Astyanax mexicanus: one gene and its partners. The protein of the gene in region 2 purifies or fractionates together with the protein of the main gene of each other region. This does not show direct contact. Links are inferred from orthologs where the notes say so. Each region holds a gene or a part of one and is shown on either strand. Other genes may lie near its edges.

Evidence for each region.
Region 1: the proteins of sodium/potassium-transporting ATPase subunit alpha-1 (region 2) and vdac1 fractionate together in Homo sapiens (co-fractionation; 3 studies listed by BioGRID, with this or other methods). This does not show direct contact. The link is inferred for Astyanax mexicanus from reciprocal best matches to the Homo sapiens genes ATP1A1 and VDAC1.
Region 3: the proteins of sodium/potassium-transporting ATPase subunit alpha-1 (region 2) and hadhb fractionate together in Homo sapiens (co-fractionation; 3 studies listed by BioGRID, with this or other methods). This does not show direct contact. The link is inferred for Astyanax mexicanus from reciprocal best matches to the Homo sapiens genes ATP1A1 and HADHB.

The regions. Positions count from the first base shown.
Region 1 is NC_064424.1:47,952,956-47,959,968, forward strand, and holds the start of vdac1 (voltage-dependent anion-selective channel protein 1), read right to left. Parts: upstream 3,012-7,013; 5' UTR 2,884-3,011; intron 674-2,883; 5' UTR 671-673; coding exon 604-670; intron 1-603. UniProt on the Homo sapiens protein: Non-selective voltage-gated ion channel that mediates the transport of anions and cations through the mitochondrion outer membrane and plasma membrane.
Region 2 is NC_064428.1:5,392,052-5,399,708, forward strand, and holds the start of sodium/potassium-transporting ATPase subunit alpha-1, read right to left. Parts: upstream 3,014-7,657; 5' UTR 2,890-3,013; coding exon 2,878-2,889; intron 2,686-2,877; coding exon 2,572-2,685; intron 2,028-2,571; coding exon 1,968-2,027; intron 1,646-1,967; coding exon 1,442-1,645; intron 1,333-1,441; coding exon 1,219-1,332; intron 1,132-1,218; coding exon 997-1,131; intron 1-996. UniProt on the Homo sapiens protein: This is the catalytic component of the active enzyme, which catalyzes the hydrolysis of ATP coupled with the exchange of sodium and potassium ions across the plasma membrane.
Region 3 is NC_064408.1:42,744,995-42,752,832, forward strand, and holds the start of hadhb (trifunctional enzyme subunit beta, mitochondrial), read right to left. Parts: upstream 3,012-7,838; 5' UTR 2,799-3,011; intron 2,725-2,798; exon of another isoform or gene 2,632-2,724; intron 1-2,631. Other genes in the region: hadhaa (hydroxyacyl-CoA dehydrogenase trifunctional multienzyme complex subunit alpha a), read left to right, coding at 3,238-3,304, 6,877-6,918, 7,023-7,093. UniProt on the Homo sapiens protein: Mitochondrial trifunctional enzyme catalyzes the last three of the four reactions of the mitochondrial beta-oxidation pathway.

The sequences.
Region 1 (7,013 bases), on a different chromosome or scaffold from region 2:
ATCTTTAACCCATTTAACTGCACAGATCTACAGCTTTTAACATTTTTTTTTTTTTATAATTACAGTTACAATACAGAAAACTCACGGTTCACTTCACAGCACAGCTTTGATTCATTAACTCAATAAAAACAGGATTAAACCTAGTAGAATTGCATTTAATTTGAACAGACAGTTGTGAAAGTTATAGTTTGTGTTATATAGAGCCGTATATCACTCTGTAGTTAGTGCAGAGTACATTTTAAAACACTGGTACATCATCCTCAACCAATACAACTAAAATTAAATAAACTATAAGTGGGTTATAAAATGGTTATCATTATGTTCTCTGTAGGTGAAAGCAGTGTGTAAATCGAGTAGCCACTCCCATCTCTGTCACTTATACTGAGATACGTTTGTGTGTGAAGTGTGAATTTGTTTTTATTTACTTTTACAAAATAGCAAAAATACATGACTCCCCATCCTCCCCTCCCCAGGTAAACAATAATAAATAATCTGTCCAAACAGGGCTGAAGGAGGAGTTTGGAGGTGTGTTTAAACATGTTGTAGAAGATCAGCTCCCAACTCAACCAACAATCCAACCAATCATCTAAACCCAATTCCTACCATATCCTTTAGTGAAGACGTCCTTAGCAGACTTTCCCAGGTCAACGTATGTCGGTGGAACAGCCATGATCTGCAGGAGAACACAGAATTATACTTTACTGAGAGGAACCGCAGAACTGAACCGGAACCGACCCGGTGTGAACTGAAGTGGAGGAGACAGCGCTGTGGAATGTGTGCTGTTATAATAACTGGAGGATTATGGGAACAGTAAATGGTCACTGGGGCGCATCAGAACATGGATCCATAGAGAAACCATCTGACCATCTGCTCTCCTTTCAGCCAATTAGACCCATTCTCACAACAGAGCAACAAACTACAGCTCACTCTCAACACAATCTAAACCACACTGCTGTCAGTTCTTACCTGAGAACCAGTTTAAAAAAGCTAACCCGACCAGAAATCACTGAATCACCAGCATAGAACCTCCCCATAGAACCGCATGCGGCACCATCACTGACTGATCTGATCCGACAACCCTGAGCTCCTGACCTGTACTCCAGTAGTAGTGAGCTAATCACGTCACCACGCTTTCATTAAGCTTTAAGAGTTAAGCATATGCTAATCTATTCCCATTCTGCACGGAGTTAACGCTTCACATAAACAACATTTAAAAACCTCCATGTTTAAAATGCTTTCCTGTAAATGGATCTTCATTCAGATTAAATCCAAATGCTGTGCAGTTTAAGACTAGGCCTAACCCCTGTCTGACAAACTCCTCCTTTTGAGTTAAAACTCAACTACATGGATATTTAAATAAGAGAATGGACTGCTCCTCTAATTTAATTTCTAGCAAATTAATAAAAAATAAAACAAAATATTTAGAAATGGATCAATCCATGTTTTGCGTTCAGGGGATAAATGTGTGTGTAAATTGTTTTATTTTTAGAATTATATTTTATAATTATATCATATATATACGAATATTTAAGAATAAGTAGTTTATTAAAAGCAGGAGGAGAGAGCCGGGTGTTCTGTCGAGTTGTGCTACCCATCGATACGTGCTTCCTAAAGGCACTGCGCATGCGCTGACCTACACTTTTTAATTATTTAGTTTTTTTACAATAAATTTGTTAAAATCCGGTCTCACTGTCACTGCTAAAAAAAGTGTACTATAAAAATGGAAACTAATAATAATAAAAATTACAAATATTATTTAAAAAAATCCAAAAGCAGTATGACCTCTCATTTCCATATCTTTACCATGATACAGTGATTTATGCTATCCAAATACGGTAACGCTACATGCACTGGGACTTCTAGCGGGAACATGCTCTAATATGGAGCTTTTTTTTAGTATTTTTAGAGTTAAATAAGTCTAAAAACACACTAGAGAAGCACAGTTTAAACACAGGCCTGTGTTCAGATCCGGAGTGTGAAGGTGAAGCTGGGAGAGGAGGGTTAGATTTAGCCCGAGTTTAACAGCAGCAGCAGCAGATCTACAGCTTTACTACAGCAGGGTTTATACTCTCAACCTGTATTATATATTAATTATATAAATGAATCTATACACTAATCTATACACTAGAAGAAAGAATAAACTGAGCTGATGCAACACAGCAGTGTGTACAGCCTTCACAATGTCAAGGAGAAAGACCCCCCCCCCCCCCCCCTTACACTCACACACACAGACACACACACACACACACACACACACACTCTCTCTCTCTCTCTCTCTCTCTCTCTCTCCTTCACACACACTCATCCATCCCCGAGTCTCTTCTCTAAATATCGCGGTGTGTGATGAAGGTTACTGAGGGCGGGCAGATCCGCAGCATCACCCCGCTCCCTGCCTGCTCCCTGCCCGCTGGGCTCCGTTAGCCACAGCCGCTAGTTAGAGATGAGTGATCCAGCTCCACAAAGTAAAAATCCACCCAGGTTTCTGGTTCAGTAGATCAGTGGTGAGCTGCAGTAAAAGATCCCGGGGTGGATTTTTACTTTGTGGAGCGGAATTACAGACCTGTGCTACCCGGGTAGCTGAGCTGCGGTCAGGGTCCGGCCTGGAGCAGAAAGACCGCGGGGATGAACGCAGAGGAGGAGACCCACCCAATCCCTCCCCGCGGTCTCACCGCCCAAACCCGGGCATCCCCGGGCTGCAGCACCGCGCTACCAGGCCGCGGACCCGCCTGGCTGCACATCACCCCGCCGCCACCGACAGCTTCAGCCCCGCGCTGCGGCCGCGGTTTCCCGCTAAACCCCGCGGAGCGCAGCCGGGCTGCGGGCAGTGCGGTCTAACAGCGCCGTGTAACCGGTAACAACCATAAACCTGGAGCTGGAGCTTACCGCAGATACAGCCTCTCCGCCCGGCCTGCAGTCTTCAGTCAGGAGAGGAGGATGGGGGGAGGAGACAGAGAGAGAGAGATGGAGGGAGGAGGAGGAGAGGAGAGGTCACGCTGTCCGCGTAACAACATCTGCAGCACCGCCACAGACCTTCTACCCAGGAGAATCCCCATCTCCATCCATCACTCTGTAAATAGAAGTATAGATACTAAAGTTTAATCAAATACTGCTGTAGAAGTTGAAGAATCAACTCAAGTTTTTTACTCTTTAAGTAAAAGTGTAAAAGTACTGGATTCAAAAACTGTGTGCAGGTGTGATGGATCACAGTTAAACCAATAGGGAGTGGGAATGGTATATGTTTATATTTCTCTACATCCAATCAGAATCAGATTCACTCTATCTGGATGGAGAGATTTATCTGGATAGGAGTTTTATTGAATGATGAGAAGCCGGAATGAAAACCAGCTGAAATGAAACAGGAGTAACGAGGCTGTTTTTTAAAATGTAAGAAGTAGAAAGTTCAGATAATTGTGTGAAAATGTAAAATAATTACGGCAGTAAAGTATAGATAACCTACTTTTATACTATACAGAGTATAAATGAATGGGTTCATATGGAGCATTACAGAAAAATCACAGTTTATAAATGTTTGATCATTTTTATAATGAAAAACACGTTTCCTCACCACAGAACTGCATCACATGTTTTATTGCACACATTTTTAAAGCTTTTAAACTTTTTTAAAAGCTCTGTCTGTATTTCCAGCTTAAACTTACCAACCAATCAGCTCACAGTAGCAGTAATGCAGCATCTTTACTGAAACCTGTTCACTGTAGAGAAATGTAATATACAGGTAATTTTCTTTGCTTTTTGGTCAAATTAAAGGAATATTCTGGAGTATTGGACATTATATTTAATTTGAGTTTTATTCGTTTGGCTCCATTCACCCTATTCATTGAGCACTCCCTCGCGGGCGCCCCCTGGCGGCTATGTGGGCAGATTTCTGATATAACGGCGGAGGAAGGAAGTAGGCGGGGTCTTCAGCTTTGGTCCCGCCCCGCCTCTTACGCTATTTGTGCAGCGCATGCGCGGTTGAGGTGAGATTTAGTCATGTCTCGCGGAAAATCTCGGAACTGTAACCATAGCGACATCATATATAACATCCGAAAGAGTTTAATGCATTATTTACCGAATTAATACAAAACATTAAACACATTATAACCAGTGGGGCTTCAGACAGAAAACTGACCAATAATCAATAAATCAATCAACCATTAATTTAACTAAGAAATACATTGAGGGCAACCCTCATTTTCAGTGTAGCGAGCATTTACAAATACAGGGGATTCACATGACCAAAAAATAATAATCATTTGTGAATAAAACAGTGAATAAAAGATAAAAAAAAAAAATAAAAAAGATTGAAAGAAGATAAGATTAACACAACAAAAAACTGTTACAATTAAGTTAAAAGTAACTTTGACACATATTATACAGCAGTGTACATATTTATCTGTAAGTTACTTTATACTGTACTTTATATTTAATTTATACTGTGCAGGTTGTGTGAACTTTATCCACGAGTTTATTATAAATTCCTTTAATTCTTTAATAAAATAATTTTGCCTCTTTATTCACTACAGTAAGATATATAGGTTACAGCTCCAGAAACAATAAGAGATTCCTTTAAAATGATCACGGGTAAATGTTTAAGTAAAATGAACATTGTTGTTATATTCAATAAACTACGGACAACATTTCTCCCAAATTCCAAATAAAATATTGTTATTTAAATTAGGGGAAAGATGCAGAGCTTTCAGACCTCAAATAATGCAAATAAAACAAGTTCATATTTATTTAGAAACAACAACACTAATGTCTTAAAAGTTCAGAAATCAATATTTGATGGAATAACAGATTTTTAATGATAGCCTTGGCATGAGTCTTGGGATCATGTTTGGTTTGTGTAAAAGGTTAGGCACTAGGCAGTTAAGTTTGGTTTGATTGCTTGTGATCATCCATCTTCCTTCTGATTACATTCCTTTAATTTTCAATAAAGTTCTAAAATTTAATTTAAAAATAATCTTAATAAATTGTCTTGCTTGCTCACAATATATGCTTACCATATATTGTAATATATATTCAGTTCTAACCCCTGTATTATAATGTGACTGTTGCACAACCGGAACGATTCAATGCAATAACGATGCTGAAATTATATATTGTGCTGCTATAAATAAAGGTATATTTCTATTTTATCTGTAGCAGCCGTACAGGATTGAGTACTGTTGTAAAATGATGTACTTTGTGTACTGTATCACCACTGACTCTCTGCTGTACACTGATTATAAAGTAAATTTAGTAAATTTGTGTTTTATCTTTGATTTATTCTTTAATGGTTTATACATAAATCAGTAAAGAATAAAGATTAAGGATTTAAGAGTTCAGTAATGGACAGTTATGAAGTTAATGTGATTGGTTCCTGTACGGTTACTTTAGCTCCACTAAATTTCAAACTCTTATCATTTAAAAAACGTTTCTTTTGGTTTATGTGTTTATAAAGGGCAGATTAGTGAAGTGCAGGATTAGCTTTACTGTGTGTTAAATCCCCTCAGGAGACTCATGGTCACTGTAGAGGAGCTGCAGAGATCCACAGCTCGCAGTTTAGGAACTTCTAATTTGGGAAGAAATGATAAACAGATGAGAAAAGAAACAGAAAAAACTATAAACTGATTTTTCTCATCTTCACAAGAGATTTGATGATGATGTATTTATTATTTTAAAGATGATGTGTGTTTTCTTAGTATTGTGCGTGAAGAGTTCAGTGTATGTGTAGTGTGTGTGTGTGTATTGTGTGTGTATGTATTGTGTGTGTGTGTGTATTGTGTGTGTATGTATTGTGTGTATTGTGTGTGTATGTATTGTGAATGTATTGTGTGTATTGTGTGTGTGTGTGTATTGTGTGTGTATGTATTGTGTGTATTGTGTGTGTGTGTATAGTGTGTGTATGTATTGTGTGTGTGTATTGTGTGTGTATGTATTGTGTGTGTGTGTGTGTGTGTGTGTTTGCTGTGCTGTAATGTGTGTAAGGCTGCAGGTGTGTGTTGTTGTAATGAGGCGGGTTGGCCGGAGGGTGGCGCTGTGTGACTCTCAGAGCTGCAGAAACATCAGCGCATTAAATTCAGAATCTTTAAAGGTTTTATTTGTTTTAAATGTATTTTTTTAGTTATTTTTCCGAACTCACTTCCTCTCCGCATCTTTTACAGCATAGTTATAATTATATATAACGCATTATAAATAATTGTATTATGTTTACTCAGTGTTTTGTTTATTAAATATAAGTGTAATGTTTTTAATAATTTTATAAACGGGTAATATGTTACTTAAATAAACATCACTTTATTATTTCCTTTTTATGCTGGAATTATAAAGTCTGTTTTACACTGAATACGAAACATATGCAGTAGCTGAATAAGTGAAATTTACTTTTGATATGAATTGCATTAAAACATTCAGTAATTTTACAATATTAAAACACTATAGAGTAATCTCTTATACCTTAATACATACTGGATGGATTTCCCTTTAATCACCACTAGAGTTTAGTACTTTTTAAATACTGTATTAAAAAAATTAAATTCTGCATAAACATTAAAAAAGCTGCACATGCTAATTTACTTAATTACTAAAATAAATTTACATTTAAAAACAATACATTAACTATAAAAATCAGAAACTTTAAAGCTGTAAAAATTACATTTACTAATTATCTTAAATTTAATGTCCTGTTTTTTCCTTATTAAATTATTAAAGCTGAATAGTGCTTCAATTTTTAACTAAAACTAAAATTAAGGTTTTAATATTTTACATTTCTTTGTAATTTTTGCCCACATGCTAAATAATTAAAGATGAATATGTGTATGTATTATTTCTGTGTATTTTTTATTTTGTGTAATCTGTTTAGTGGTTGTATTTTGTTTAGTTTGTGTATTTTTTTGTTTGTGTATTTTGTTTAGTTTGTGTGATTTAGTTTGGTTTGTGTAATTTGTGTAGTTTTCTTTAGTTTGTGTATTTTGTGTATTTTGTTTAGTTTGTGTAGTTTATGTATTTGTTAGCAGCACTGGGCTGTTTTT
Region 2 (7,657 bases):
GGGTAGAGAGTGCTCATTTGTAGCGCCGAAAAACGGGCCAAAGAGTCTAAAAGTAGCAAGAGTGTTCAGTTGTAGGGCAGAAAAAGAGGCCAAAGAGTCTAAAAGTTACCGTAAATAAGGAGTTGACTTCAAATATATTTCTCCTTCTGCCCCCCCCAAAAAAAGTTTGGACACCCCTGGCTTAAAGGGTTTGTTTCTGGTCTGTTTCTTTCTATCTCATTGATAAGTCTCTCCTGGTTCTTGTGGTCTTTTTGACTTGGCGCCCACTTCTTGTCTCCTTTTGTAGACAGTTTGCCTTTACCTTGGACTTTCTAGAGTTTCTGCAGTCTTTGAAATCACTTTGTATCTCTCTTTGTAGCTTTGTTTGATCCTCTGAAAGCTCTTTTTGGCACAGCATTGCTCCCATATGCATATTCGTCTTGTGTAGAACAAAAATTTGACTGATAAAAACAGGTTTTATTAGTCAAATTAGTGCGACTCCAAACTTCTAAACTAGCAAGACTCCAGCTATCCTATTTATTGACTTTAAATAGCTTTTTTGAGGTCATATAACATAAGGGTTCACATACTTTTTTACCACTAGAATTCTGATATTTTTATAGTTTTCTCAATGAAAACAAGAACAATCATAATGTTTTTTTTTTTTTGTGCAATTATTTGCAGCACATTATATTTTTTAAAACCATGAAATTCTAAAGGGTTGACATACTTTTGAAAAGTCTGAAGGAAATAATATGATACAGTTTGAAGCTTTGGTTCTACTTATATCTGTTTTGTTGTTTGATTGAAAAAAATAAAAAAATTGCAGACAAAAATCAACCATTTGGCTTAAATATTTGCCTAATTTTTGATTCAGGGATGAAAACAAAGGCTAATCCTTAATTCCTACCTCATAAATCAGCCTTTTTAGGTTTAAAAATATATGTTACATAATTCCCAGGACAGATAGAAGAGTTGTTTGTGTAATTAAGTCGGATTAATTTTTTTAACAGTCACCTTGCATCCGTGTGCGGAGATAATGCGCAGGTCAGCAGGGATTCGGTCTCCGCCCTTAACCTCCACAAGGTCACCAGCCACCACCTCCTCAGCATTAATGCTCTTCTTCTCCCCGTCTCGGATTACCAGGGCTTGCTGTATTAGAACGATACAGCAGGGTGTTGAGTAATTTCACGTGAACAGCTCAGCTCAGTGGAATATGGTTTTATGGTTTTATTATACCTGTGGGACGAGGTTCTTAAAGGACTCCATGATCTTTGAACTTTTGGCCTCTTGATAGTAGGAGAAACATCCTGTGATCATGACCACAGCAGACAGCACAATACCAAGGTACAACTGCAACAAACGAATGTTTGAATTAGAGATATAGAAAGAGAGAATAATGATGCTAACATGCTAAATATGCATCTATAAATCTGCATCTAATATCCTCGGGTTATCTTACGTTATCATTGGTTGGTTCATCTTCTGAGGCAGCCTGGATTCCATAAGCCAGAAAGCAGAGAATAGCTCCAATCCACAGCAGCGTGGAAAACCCTCCAAACAGCTGCTTGCAGAACTTCACCCATTCTGGAGTAGTTGGCGGTGGGGTCAGAGCGTTGGGTCCATCCCGTGCAAGGATTTCTTTAGCACGAGTCGCAGATAAACCCTTAAAAATAGTACGAAAAAGACTTTTAAAAGATTTGTTATTGGACATTTTGGTTAGAAAATGTGTAGTAAACGATAAACTGTGGAAAAATCAACTTACAAAAGTTAAAATGACTATTTTCATCAAGATCACCAAGCAAAAATCTTAATAAATAAGTTTTTTTTTTATGTCACATGCTTAAAAAGTCTACTGTGTAGTTTTAGCACAAAATATGAGTTTTATTCTTTAACAAAATTGTACAAAAAGTAATGTTTTATCTTGAGAAAATGATCAATCAGTAAATATATATATATATATTTTTGCTCTACACTTTTGTACTTACCCTGCTGAGGTCTGTGCCGTATTTGCGGTGAAGTTCATCCAAAGACAACTTATGATCATCCTTTAGTAGAGAAAACACAATAATTATTATAATTAATATTTCAATCAAACAAAACCAATGTGAAACAGTTCAGAGTAAAACAGCAGCATTTCTTTTCAAATTTCTCCATTTTACTTATGTGAAATTAGCTATTTTCTTTAATTTTGTAGGATGTGTATTTTAAGTGCCCTTTTGAATAAAGAAATAGAAGTCTACATAAAGCACATTTTAGTGGTTTTATGTAAAAAAAAAATATATATATAATTTTTTTAACAAAATAAAGGAAGAATAAATTATTTTTTGCCAAAACAAATGGAAAAAAATTAAATAAAAATTATGTGTTACAGTTTGCTAAATTTTACTTCTACTTGTCTTAATCTTATTGTTTTGCTGTTTATTTAACTAATAAATTATAGTTTATAGTTGTAGCTTTTTATGTAAAAAAGTTTTGTTTTTTATAAGAAAGAATAATTGATTTCAATATATTTATGTACAACATACATATATTTGTTAAAATGGCTTGATTAATATATTTGTATTTTTTATTATTAATGGAATTTCTTACTAAATCAACTTCTTTCTTCAATTCATCCATGTCCTTATCTTGTTTCTTTCCCTTTTTCTTCTTTTTCTCTCCATCTTCTGAAGTTGAGGCCAGCTTGTATTTATCAGAACCCGTCTGAGGAAAAATAATATGTGAGAAAATTACAGCTTTTGTTAAGAAAGGTGAGCTCACACACAATGCGCTGTAAACACGTCATTAAAATCAAATTAAAATCTTAAAACAGAAAAATATTTAAAACTTAATCAAATATTAAAATAAAGGTGTGTTAATAAAACAAAGCAGATAAGAAATAAAAACGCAACTTACTCCTAACCCCATTTTTCCTTTTTTTTTTTGTGTTTTCAGGTTCCAGCAGTAAATTACGGTGCTCCTGTTCCCTGTGGTTAAAGTGTGAGGCGACTCCTCTCAGTGGGAGTCTCTGCACTTCCAAACAGGTCTGCAAACCTTTATAGCTCGCAGCCCTCCTACCTGAGGAGGAGGAGAGTCGAGGGAAAAGGGGCGGAGTTTGGCAGGTGAGATTTAGATTTTCTGTTATAATTCAGTCAACCTCCATTTGCACTTCATTTGTACTTTTTAACCTTCACTGACTTTAAGGAAAGGCGAAGGAGAACCAAAGTCCAGGTTTTGGCCATCGTTAGATTTATGGACTTCTGTAGCACAGTTCAATGCTATCCTGGTGTCAGTTAATCTTTAACACAGACAATGCCCTTATTATAGCATATAGAGGTGGAGGAAGGATTGTATTTGCTTCCTTTCTGACTGACTTTAAGTCAGTAAAAGTGCTTTTCCTGCTTTTCATCTTTGTTTAAACATTGTATTGTTACTATTTCTGTTATTAATACTATGTGTAAAAAGAACAGTGTGAAATGTACAGGAACGTACTGGCAGCAATTAGCTAGTAAGCTGCTGTAGTTACTTTGTTAACAGTATGAATAGCCTCATTGCAAACTCTATAACATGAAATAAGTGTATTTGGTACCACTTTAAAATAGGACTACCTTTATAAAGGGTTTATAAATGGTTTACAATGGTTTACAGTTTATTAATGGTTACTAATTAGGTTGTAAATGCCTTAAAATGCCTAAAAATGAATAATCAGTTAAAATAAACACATACGTAGAAAGGGCAACAGTATAGATGGCTGTGGGTTCACTATTTGGCAAACAACAGGTCATTGTTGCCCTTTCTACATATGTGTTATAACTGATTATTAATTATTTCAAGGCATTTACCACCTAATTAGTGATCATTAATAAACTAATTGTAAACCACTTATAAACCCTTTATAAAGGTAGTCTTATTTTAAAGTGGTACTGTGTATTTTTTTGGTTGCATTCCAACTTTTAATGTTGATGAGATAAAAAAAAAACATTTAAACGACCTTTATTTAAAGTAATACTAGCTTATTTTTCAATATAATTGATTATTGGTGAAATTCTGACATTAAATCAACGTTCATTTGAAGGCTTAGAATGGATGGGATAAGCTCTTCTACTCCCACAAATAATAAATTATGATAATAATAATGATAATTATGTCATGTTAAATAATGTCCAGATTCATTAATTAATTAACTGTATTTATCTGATGCTCTTATTCAGAGCGATTTACAAAGTTATTCATATTAGAGAGTTGGGTCAATGTAGTGTTAGGAGTCTAGCCCAAGGACTCTTATTGGTGTAGCACAGCATTCAGTCAACCAGACCTGGAATTGAACCCCAGTCTCCCACATTAACTCGCTGGCAGGTGGTGATGTTATCCACTACACCACACTGTAACACACCAACCATCTAAGGTGCAGGAACAAAAATAAAGGTTTTTAGAATATAAGCGTATAATACAAACAACATATAAGTTTTTAGTGTAATTAGAGTTAAAATAATACACAAACAATACATACTGTATAAAACCATAATGATAAATCAATGCTGAATCAACTAAAATTGATGTGCACAAATAAATCTGTCACAGTAACAGACTGATGTATTTTTAGCACAGAAAATATTAGACTATATGTTAAACAGCAATGGTAAAATGATTGTTAACTGTTTTAATAAACAATAATATAATATAATTCTCAAGTTTTATTTAATTTAATTTTATTTATTGTATTATTAATAACACATTTTATATTTTAATAAACATCATGTAGCTGGCTAGCTATCCAGTGCACTAACACACATAGCTACTGTAGCTAGCGATAAACCTTAACACACATGCACATTTATCCAGTAATGTTACTAGTTCACCAAACTAAAGAAACTAAACTAAATGTCTCCAGACATATTATTTTAATGAATGTACAAAATGTTTATTTTGGTAATAATTTGATTACTAGCTAAAGAAGAAGCTTCTCTTCAATGATTTTCTCTCTTATTGTAGTGTAGCTAGCGTTAGCTGTTTAGCTAGCAGAGCAGAGCAGTACCACAGAAAGGCAGCAGTTAGCCAATAAGCGGCAAGTTAAAGTTCATTAATACACTGTACTTTATAAACTGAAATAAAAGGAAATAAATATTTCAGCACCACTGACTGTTTATTACTTTAAAAATACAAGCAGAAAAAGGCTAGCTTGGTGTTAGCATGCTGAGGTAACTCACCACTAACATATATGTGTTAAGTTAATAGATTGGCTGCCTTTCTTTGTGCCTTTCATTTGGCTACTAGTGCAACTAAAAAAAAATTGAATATTATTGAAAAGTTACTCTATTTCAGTAATTCGGTTCATAATGTGAAACTCATATTATATAAATATATTACACACAGAGTGATCTATTTTAAGCGTTTTTTCTTTTATTGTTGACGATTGTGGCTACAGCCAATCAAAAACCCATAAATAAGTGTCTAAGAAAATTTGATTTTTATATAAAACCAATTGGTACTTTTGACAGTGTGGGCAGTGTGCCAACTCCTGCTGGAAAATGAAATCTGCATCTCCATAAAAGTTGTCAGTAGCAGAGGGAAGCATGAAGTGTTGTAAGATTTTCTGGGAAAACAAAACTGCACTGACTTTAGACTTGATAATAAAACACAGTGGATCAACACCAGCAGATGACATGTCTCTCCAAACCATCACTGATTGGTGGAAACTTCACACTAGACCTCGAGCAGTTTGTCTCCACTCTTCCTCCAGACTCTGCTCCCTTGATTTACAAATAAAATGTAAAATTTACTGATGATCAGTGATGGTTTGGAGAGTCATGTCTGTCATCTGCTGGTGTTGATCCACTGTGTTTTATTACTAAGTCTAAAGTTTTCAACTTTTATGGAGATGTGGATTTCATTTTCCATCAGGACTTGGCACACTGCCCACGCTGCCAAAAGCACCAATTGGTCTTATATAATATATACAGTTATGGATGATATACTGATATCCCTTTGTCTAAAACTAGTAATAAAATTAGATCTGAGTTGAAAATAATGTAAAAAATGTATAGTTAGCAAAGAAAGTGTCTTGTTTAAACTGCTGAAATTAAAATCATGCTCCAAGATTACTGTACTCCGATTCACGGTTGAAATACATTTAAAATTTCCCACTATATTTCAATAATAATACTTATAGATCTACAGTAACATGCTGCACACATGTTCTATAGTATAAATGTGTTTTTAGTACAGTAGTAATGCTTTAAAGCTACCTTTCTCTGTTCTAATTAAATGTATTTTTTTATTATTTTTTAAATGAAACTAAAGCGTTTGAGGCTCCTGAGCATATCCTATGTAAGTAAGAATTACAGTACGTTGAATGCAAATGTTAATCTCCTCCATGTTTTGGAAACAGATGTCTGTTTGTTGTCAGTTGGCGCTGGATAGCTTAAGATAAGAGTAGCAAAGCCTCAATGTCCTTCCCACAGAACCAGATGTTCACATGATTCCCACACTCCCTTCAGCAAGCTCTACATTATGAAAGTAAAGGTGCAAAAATGTCTATTTGCGTGTGAATGTGAATGTGCCTGAAACATCACTTTCATTATGTACAAACAGTGTATTTGTGTGTAAAATCTTAAGAAACTAGACTAAACTAGCGTGGATTTTTGTGTACAATTGAGTGCACACTGAGTATTTGTGAAGCAGCTTGTTCATAAATGTATGTATGTATGAATGAGAGGAATCACTGCTGGGTGATCAAGGTGAAATCCACAGAAAAACCCAGGCTGAACATTTTTCCATGTTAAACATTAAAGCCAAAGTTGACTTTGCTTCATATGGTTACATTTTAATAATCCCCAGGCTAACCTGTTGTAAAACTTTAGCATTCATTAACTTTCGGCGTACCCAGAGCACTCCGCACCAGTAGAACCAGTTTTAAGGAAGTGACCTGAGACGCAGACGAGTAACTCTACACTCCAGCGCACAGACTTTTACTGCAACAAGCGCTCTTTTGATGAAGGAGGCTGAAAATAATGAAGGGCCTGTGCTCAGCCCGTAAGCTTGTTTATGAACAGAACACAGAGACCTCCCCTATGAAAGCGTCGTGGACATGGGACATGTTTTTAAAAGAGGTAAACTCGCAGACTTGAAATAGTGAAAGTTTTAACAAGTTTGAGCAACAGATCACCTCCATCAAATCACCTCCAACAAATCTTCCAAAAAAACGCTGAAAAGTTGAAATGCGTGTTTTAAAAGAACGATGACAAAGCAGATTGTTTGGAAAAATAAAAAAAGTGCTGACATGTTTCCTTATACGTTGGCAGAGGTGGAAAAAGTCCTAAGTAAAAGTACCTTTACTTTGCTAAAAATTTAAATTCCCATCTAAAAATCTACTTGAGTAAAAGTAAAAAAAGTACTCAATTTAAAATGTACTGTGAGTAAAAGTACAACAAATCATAAATTAAATCTTTTTATATAATAATTTGGATCTTTCAGGCAGTATTTGTTCAGACCACCCCATAAAACTTTTTTAAGAACAGCTGCGCTGCCATGGAGAACAAAACTCAAATTTCTTTTTTAATTCAGACAATTCGTTTTTTTTCCCCCAGCATTTTATTTTTCACTCAGTAACGGGGAGTTTTCCAATGTAGCAAAGTAAATTACTTGTGTCAAAATGTACTTGAGTAAAAGTAAAATGACCTATTTTAAAAACGACTTT
Region 3 (7,838 bases), on a different chromosome or scaffold from region 2:
ATTTAATTTTAATTGCATTATGCTATTTATGTCAAAAAGCAGCTTTACATGGCTGAGGGTATACTAGACAAATGATTTAATACACCAGCAGCATTTAGAAATCTGAAAAAAAAAATTCACAAATGAATGAATGACACAGATGTATAACATGCAACACATTCAACAGACCAGGCAAGAACATAGACGTTTTACAAGTATTAAGTAAGAGAGTATGACATAAAAATATTATGAAATGATTATACGTTTATGAAAGAAGCCTTATGTTTTTAAAGTTCTAGGCTTAATTTCAGGGCTTGAAATATTCCCAAAATTTATTTCATACTATATTACTTCATTTAGGTCCCCATGCTAAGATTCTGATACCAATATGTACAGTATAAAAGCCACTGTCCATGGTGTACATAATGGCATGCTGATACTGAGTGATATGGTAAAAATATTATATCCCATTCCCCGTTATCCCGTCTCCCTCCACCCATCCTCACACTCTTCTATAGAGGGACCATTGAGAGCATCCTGAGCAGCTGCATCACTGCCTGGTTTGGGACCTGCACCGTCTCTGACTGCAAGACCCTCCAGCGTATTGTGAGGACAGCTGAGAGGATCATCGGCGTCTCTCTCACCTCCATCACGGACATTTACACCACCCGCAGCATCCGCAAAGCAACCAGCATTGTGAATGACCCCACCCATCCCTCACACAAACTGTTCTCCCTCCTGCCTTCGGGAAAAAGGTACCGCAGCATCCGGTCCAGCACGACCAGATTCTGCAACAGCTTCTACCCCCAAGCCATCAGACTCCTCAACTGCAGAGACTGAACTGATGTTTTTTCTGTACATGCACACACACTCTTACCCCACTTACCCCAGAAAATGGAAAGCACTAAAAACCCTACTACCTCACTGGACTCTATTGCACACTGTGCAATAGAGGTAATTACTACCTCACTGGTCTTTTTGCACACTTTTTGCACACTGCATAATTTGTACACTGTCTTGTTATTTATTATTCTGTCTGTATTGTGTTGTATTGTCTGTCTGCACTTTTGTACTGTTGCACTATTGTTTTGTCTACACTGTGTTTATGTGCACCATGGTCCCTGGAGGAACGTTGTTTCGTTTCACTGTGTACTCTGTATATAGCTGAAATGACAATAAAAACCACTTTGACTTTGACACACAGTATTTATCATCAAGTTTAAATAAGGAGAAAAAAAACATCAGCAGTGTCAGATTCTGCTATTATGCTATTTAAATACTATTTAATAATTTGCACAGTGATTATTAAATTTTTGTGGCACACCATGTAATTAAACACTCTCTGTAATTAAATTGGTTAGTTAGGTCAGGGTCCTGTAGGCCCTGATGGTACATTTGATATGATCGCAGTCCACTGAAAAACATGCATCTCCAAAACGGCAACTTTACAGAACAGCAACAAAATGTAAGTAAATGAAATAAAAAGTGTTTATTTCAAGTCTTTTATAAATGTTGCCAGTTCGCCTGTTAAACTTATTTAGCAAACTAAAAATCAACAAAAATGGAGCTTCTCGTTTTTCATTGGACAGCAAAAGCAGTGTCCTCACGATATAAATGATGGTAAATTATATAATTATACAATAAAAATATTGATATATTGCTAAACTCTATGTACAATATGTTACATATATAAATCCACAAAATAGTTTCGTTTATATTTTGCCTCGATTTTTGCGCTTTTCATTTGCGATGGTAGAAAAAACGTAACGATGCTACAGTATCTACTGTAGCGAACAGAAAGAAACCAGGCCGACACAGAATTAGACCACGCCTCTTCAACAGGGTGACCACGCCCACTATACTAAGGGTCCGTCAGGATGGCCTCCTCTAGCGTGGGTTCAGATCCCATACATGACAGGCTTTACTGTGTCATTGCGGTCAGCCTGGTCAAGGTTGTAAAGCTGTGAATTCAACACGGTCACTCACTCTTCTTTAATATATAGTCATATATTATTACATTAAATTACATTATTATATTAAAATAATGCTATAGACAACTTCACCAAGCACCATGTATGCTAACATACAGTGTAGCGAAAACGGCGTCAGTGCTCTTAATTCACCTTCAACATGACACTTAATAAACAAATGTCAATGCCAATGTCACTCTTTTCTGCTATAATCACACTATTACAGTCCACTGTGTTTGTTTTTTTGTTTGTTTGTTCAAAATAATGAATCTACAGTAATTTATGAGGAGGTATTGAAGGTAGCATTATATATCCTCTTATGTAAACATTTTAGTAATAAATGCGTGTCTATCAGAATAACAAACCTGCGATCAGCTGATTAATCACACTTTACAGTGTCTCAGGTGTGTAAAAGTCATATGCAAGACTTCTGATTTCATTCTGGTAACGTGCCCTGATTAGCTGAATTATAAACAGCTCGGTGACCCTTCACCTACTTCTTCAGCCGGCACAAGGGCAGGCTGCACACACTGCTAACTATCTCACTCTCACACACTAATTGTGCAAAACTACAAACTGCACTGCCCTGTCTACCAAACACACTAAACACAAATACTTTAACAGGCTTATTTACAATAAATAAAATAGTGAGACCATTAAAAACAGCAGGATTTGAGCTTACCGCAGCTAGCCAGCAAGACACCACACTGACAGTGAAATCAGCCAGCCCGCACTGCGCATGTGCACAAACACTCTCAAGCGTTCAGTATCTCTCTGTGTATGTGTGTGTTATTATGTTATTATAGCCAGTGAATGCAGATAATCTGTGTGTGTATGAAGGAGCGTTACCTGCGCAGATCCTGCTGTATGATGAACCCGAAGCCGCGGGACTCTTCCTGGGACTGGACCAAGATGACAAACGACTACAAAAAATGTGCAGCTCGAAAGACCTTAAAAGTTTCGTAGTAGCCCTGAAATCTGCCTGCACTAAATTGTCTTAAAACTATTAAACACAAAAAAACTAATCTGCATACACATATAAAACCAAATGCACTGAGCCGTATATATTCATGTGCACGTGTTTCAGTTGTCAGTGCTTTTAAAAAGTGACTTTAGCTACGCAATCTGAGAAATGGAATGCAGCTTGGGTCCTTAACGCACCGGTTTCCCCTCCCTCGCGCTTCCGTTTCACGGTTTGTGTGCTGGGGGGGTGCGCGTGTGTGAGTGCGTGATTGTGCGCGTGCGTCTGTCTGTCTCTCAGCGTCTGTGAAGCGGAGCTCCGGAGGCGATGGCGAGCGTACGGGCGGCGGGCACACTGATCAGATCTGCGGCCAGCAGATACCCTCATTTCTCCGGTAGGTGCAGCAGATCAGACTCAGACTCTGGGTTTTGTAGTTTTTTATAGTGAAATCAGCTCAATAGCGAAAAGCTGCAGTGCGTGTAGCGTCCTTACGCGACCCTGCGAGCCTCACAGGCGGATGAACTTTCACCTACTTCTGCTGGGAGGGTGACCGATGGGGGGGAATGATCAAGTGCATGACCAGAAGACCACCTTACACACCACCCCAGTGTACCAAAGAGTTGAGAATGTCAGTGTGTGTTATGTAATAAGGCATGCTATTAATTTGTGAAGTAGATTAGTTATATGTGCATTGCATTGAGTGAGTTTAGTTATAGAAGAATGAGTGAAATCAGAGCTGCTCCTTTAAACTAATTTTCCCCTTTGTTTTTCTTCATCTACAGTCAAGAATAGAAGGAAATGGCACAAAAATCAGTGTACACATTTTTTGCAGTAAACTGACAAGGCCTTGAAGGAAAGCAAATGAACTAAACACTGAAAAAAACATTTTATTATTGTAGAAAAAAGAGTATTGTAAAAAGGAATGATTTTAACAACTGAAAACTGTCATTACCTTTTGGAGAAATCTGATATAAAACCCTATATTTTAAAAATTGCACTAAATCACAGATTAGAGGTGGGCAATATGGCTTAATATAATATCACAATATTTCATTGTATTTTCACGATGGCGATACTCTTGGTGATATGTCAAAACACTGAATTTAAAAAATATATATATATATTTAAAAATATACGTACTTCAGCAATATAATATAATACAATATAATATGGCACACCCCTAACTGCGATAATAAAAAATACAAGAATTTTATCAGATTTGTAAAATAAGTCAATGACCAGAACATCATGATCATTAATGCACTTGAAATATCTCCATATATCCAGGAATGAAGTAAAATGAATGATACTGGACAGATATAATCTGTCTCTAGTAGATATATAATGGTAAATGAGAACAGTGTGAATTTTTATTTTGCTAAAAGCAGCAAAAAAAGTAGGACCCTGATGTGATAATTAGCGGTGGGCGATATGGCACAATATTTTAGGATGTAATATCGTTCACATTCACAATATTCAAAAATGTTGGTGATATTATTGCGTACCATAAGATACTATATGACACACCCATATCACAGATAGATATTGTAATGTCAGATTTTAAATAGGCTCTGGTAATGCTGCAACCTGGAACACGGAGTATCATTTTTTTTAGATCGGCCTAGTGACCCAGTGGTCTACAGTTAAGGTCACTGCACTTTTATTCTGAATAAAGTTTCCATAATTAGCTTACAGCTTATGAGTAGCAATAAAAATAAATTGAGCTTTGGAAATTGATTTGAAAAACTTGTCAATTTACAAAGCTTTTATCTGTAGTAAAGCAGTGCTGGAACAGATTTTGTTATTGCACTCTCTACTGCAGCATTTACACACTAGAAACACTAGAAGCACACGGCACATAACTACAGTAGAAAAAGACACACACAGATAACTCTGTAACTGTGTAAATAGGATTAAAAGGATCTTGACATGACAATACTGTTGTTTATTGCAATTATTTGTGCATGCATGTAGTCACAGTTATAAAGAATTTTTCAATATCCTTTTAATTGTTGTTTTTTACTGTTTGAAATGATTTCATGGCAGTGACGTCATATCAAACAAATGTTACCTTTTAGCTGCTTGATACAAAAGACGATACAAAAAAATCACACTGCTCTCTCATCATTTTTTTGACTCCAATTTTGGATACATGGAATAAATTGTTAATATTGTAACAATCAGGGACTTCTGGAGAAATCTGATATAAAATCCTGTTTTTCAAAATAGCAATTAATACAGAAAAAAATATATATTGCAAAGTGAGATATTAAATGGGCTCTGGTATGATTTTGTAGGTTGGCCTAGTGACCCAAACATTCCCCCAAAGTTTCCATATATGGTACCTGAGTGAATGATGTCCCAAACCATATTTACACCCAAGTCCTGGTGACGCTAGTCGTCTTGTCACTCCCTGTTTAGAGTACTTTTTCCACATGCACTCATACACACGCTCTCTCACAGAGGGTGTGTATGGTGGCATTACCTCTTGTGACCGGGTCAGGTGAAGGAGAAACAGAACTGGGCTGCAGGTCATGCTGCATCAGTAACTGTATCTGTATTTAGGTCAGAGTCATTATTGATTAATAAGGGATGTTAAACTGTTTTGATTAAGGTTAGGGTCATACATGATTTCTTTTGATTTTAATTGCATGATTCTGTGGCTTTAGCTCAGTCTAGTACTAAATATTAAAGAGTTACAATTGACCAAGGTCAGTAAAAGTGACCCTCAAAGTTTTGTTGGTAAAGTAGCTATAGATATAATAGCTGTATATTGGGACAGTTTTTAAGCTTTCTTATTAGAAGAAAATATCTTAAGTGATTAATTTCTGTAATACTGAAGATTTTTCTGGTTTCACAGCTCTGCAAAAACCTTTTTTCTTGTCACGATCATTACATTATTGACTTATCATTCACTAAATGGACATGCCCTCAATAATATTTGATAATTGTGATATCATCTATTGTGTTTAATTGTATGTTTGTTCACATATATAACAGTGAACAGTATTTTAGCCAGTTATGTAATATCCAATGTTTTAATAACCCCATACACACAGTGTGTACTGCAAAAAGTATGTATTTTCCAAACTATAATAAATTACAAATTTGTTGTCTTTAAAAGGGAACGAAGTTGTGCTTTAAGCTTTTCTGTTTTTTAGAGCTGGGTAATATGCCCTAAAAATCTATTTTTTTTTCACCAATAAAAGAAAATCAGTTTTTTGATTTTAACTAAAAAAATTTCCCTATTAAAAAGAGACAGACACTGGATTATACTGCAGAATGTGAGCAGTAATGAAGCAGTAAACAGGTCACAGAAAGTTGTAATGAAAGAAACATTCAAGGAGCACTATTTATTGTTTTCCACAAATAATCACGGATCCTCACCGGAGGAGGGCCACTCTGAACTATAGAAGCCCAGAAGGGAGCATAGGTAGCAGAAGTCTAAACAGAGAAAATCAGTTTTCATAAAAACGCATCGTCCTTAACTGTAAATTTTAATTAATTCATAAAATTGATTTTTTTTATTATCATTATGTCAGTGGCATGTAATTGGGCTTAAAATGACAATAATATCGTTTATCACAATAATTACTGGGGCGATTAAATCGTCCACAAAAAAATATCATTTTGACGGGCCACACACGAGAGAATAAACCTGTCCTGTTTAAATGTTTGTCCAAATATCACCCTAAAATTACCAATCTTAAGTAAACATCTTTAAACTGGTTTTTGACTGCATGTTTTACTCACACTTTTATTCATGATCACATGTTTTTTCAGTGTTGTGTGAACTAAAGATGTGATTTAGATGAAGTAATCTGAGTTTATATAAACATTACATAAAATAGTAAGCTAGAGAATGTGTTAAGCTTTTCAGGCTGTATCTACAGTCTTTAGGTTCAGTATTTTTCTTTAAGCTGAGGGCTCTGTTCACTTGTGCAAATATATATTTTTTTTGTTTAGTGAATGGACGCCGGAACTTCTCTGCATCATCAGCTCTGCTGGGTAATTATTAGCATAAGTGTTTTAAACCATCAACACACATTATTAATTTTATGATCCCTGCTTTTGGCGTATAATCCTGTACATATCTGTGATCTTTTTTTCAGCTCGCACCTATGTCAACTATGAGCTCAAAGATGACGTTGCAGTCATCAAGATCAACGACCCTTCAGGCCGGGTCAGTAACTCCAACACACTGTTCTGTCTTTCTAAGGGAAATTAGTTTTATTGTGATGTGATGTGATGTCATTTTCACTTTCATACTGCACACTTATTTTTTTTTAAGGCTGAGTGTTATGAAATGGACTTTTATCATATCAGCAAATTGTCAGCAAATATTCACTTTTTCTTTCGCAAAAATCAGTGTTGTTCAAAGGTGCAAGCAAACGTTTAGGCACCCTATAAATATGTTGCTGTGAATATTTAGGAAAATAGAAGATAAACTAGTCTATAAAAATGTTTACTAAAAAGTAAAAGTTTGGAGAGGAAAATAGACTTTTGGATGGCAGCTTTTATCAATGTCTACGACCTTAATTACATTGCTATGCCTATGGTTTGTTCTTAACAACCATTAGCAATTATTGTATTACTATCTTCAAATTCTGTAATCCTGGATCAGGCTGCTTTTGGGCCCTTTTCCCTTTCAGATTCATAAAATAATTTAGTTTAAACTCTTTTCATCTTTTACTCTCTTATCTGTTTTTTTAAAAGACACTTTAAGCAGGGGTGTTCAGACGGGTGTTTTGCATGCTTTTGTAGGTTTTATACTGATAGTAGGGTTGGGCGATGTCTCCTTAATTGGCAGATGACGATGTTTACAGTGAAACATCGCGATGGACAATGATAGAGTTGGGGGGGGGGTTAAAAATAATTAATATAAAATAAAAACTCATTTACAACAATATTTGATTAAATTTACAGGT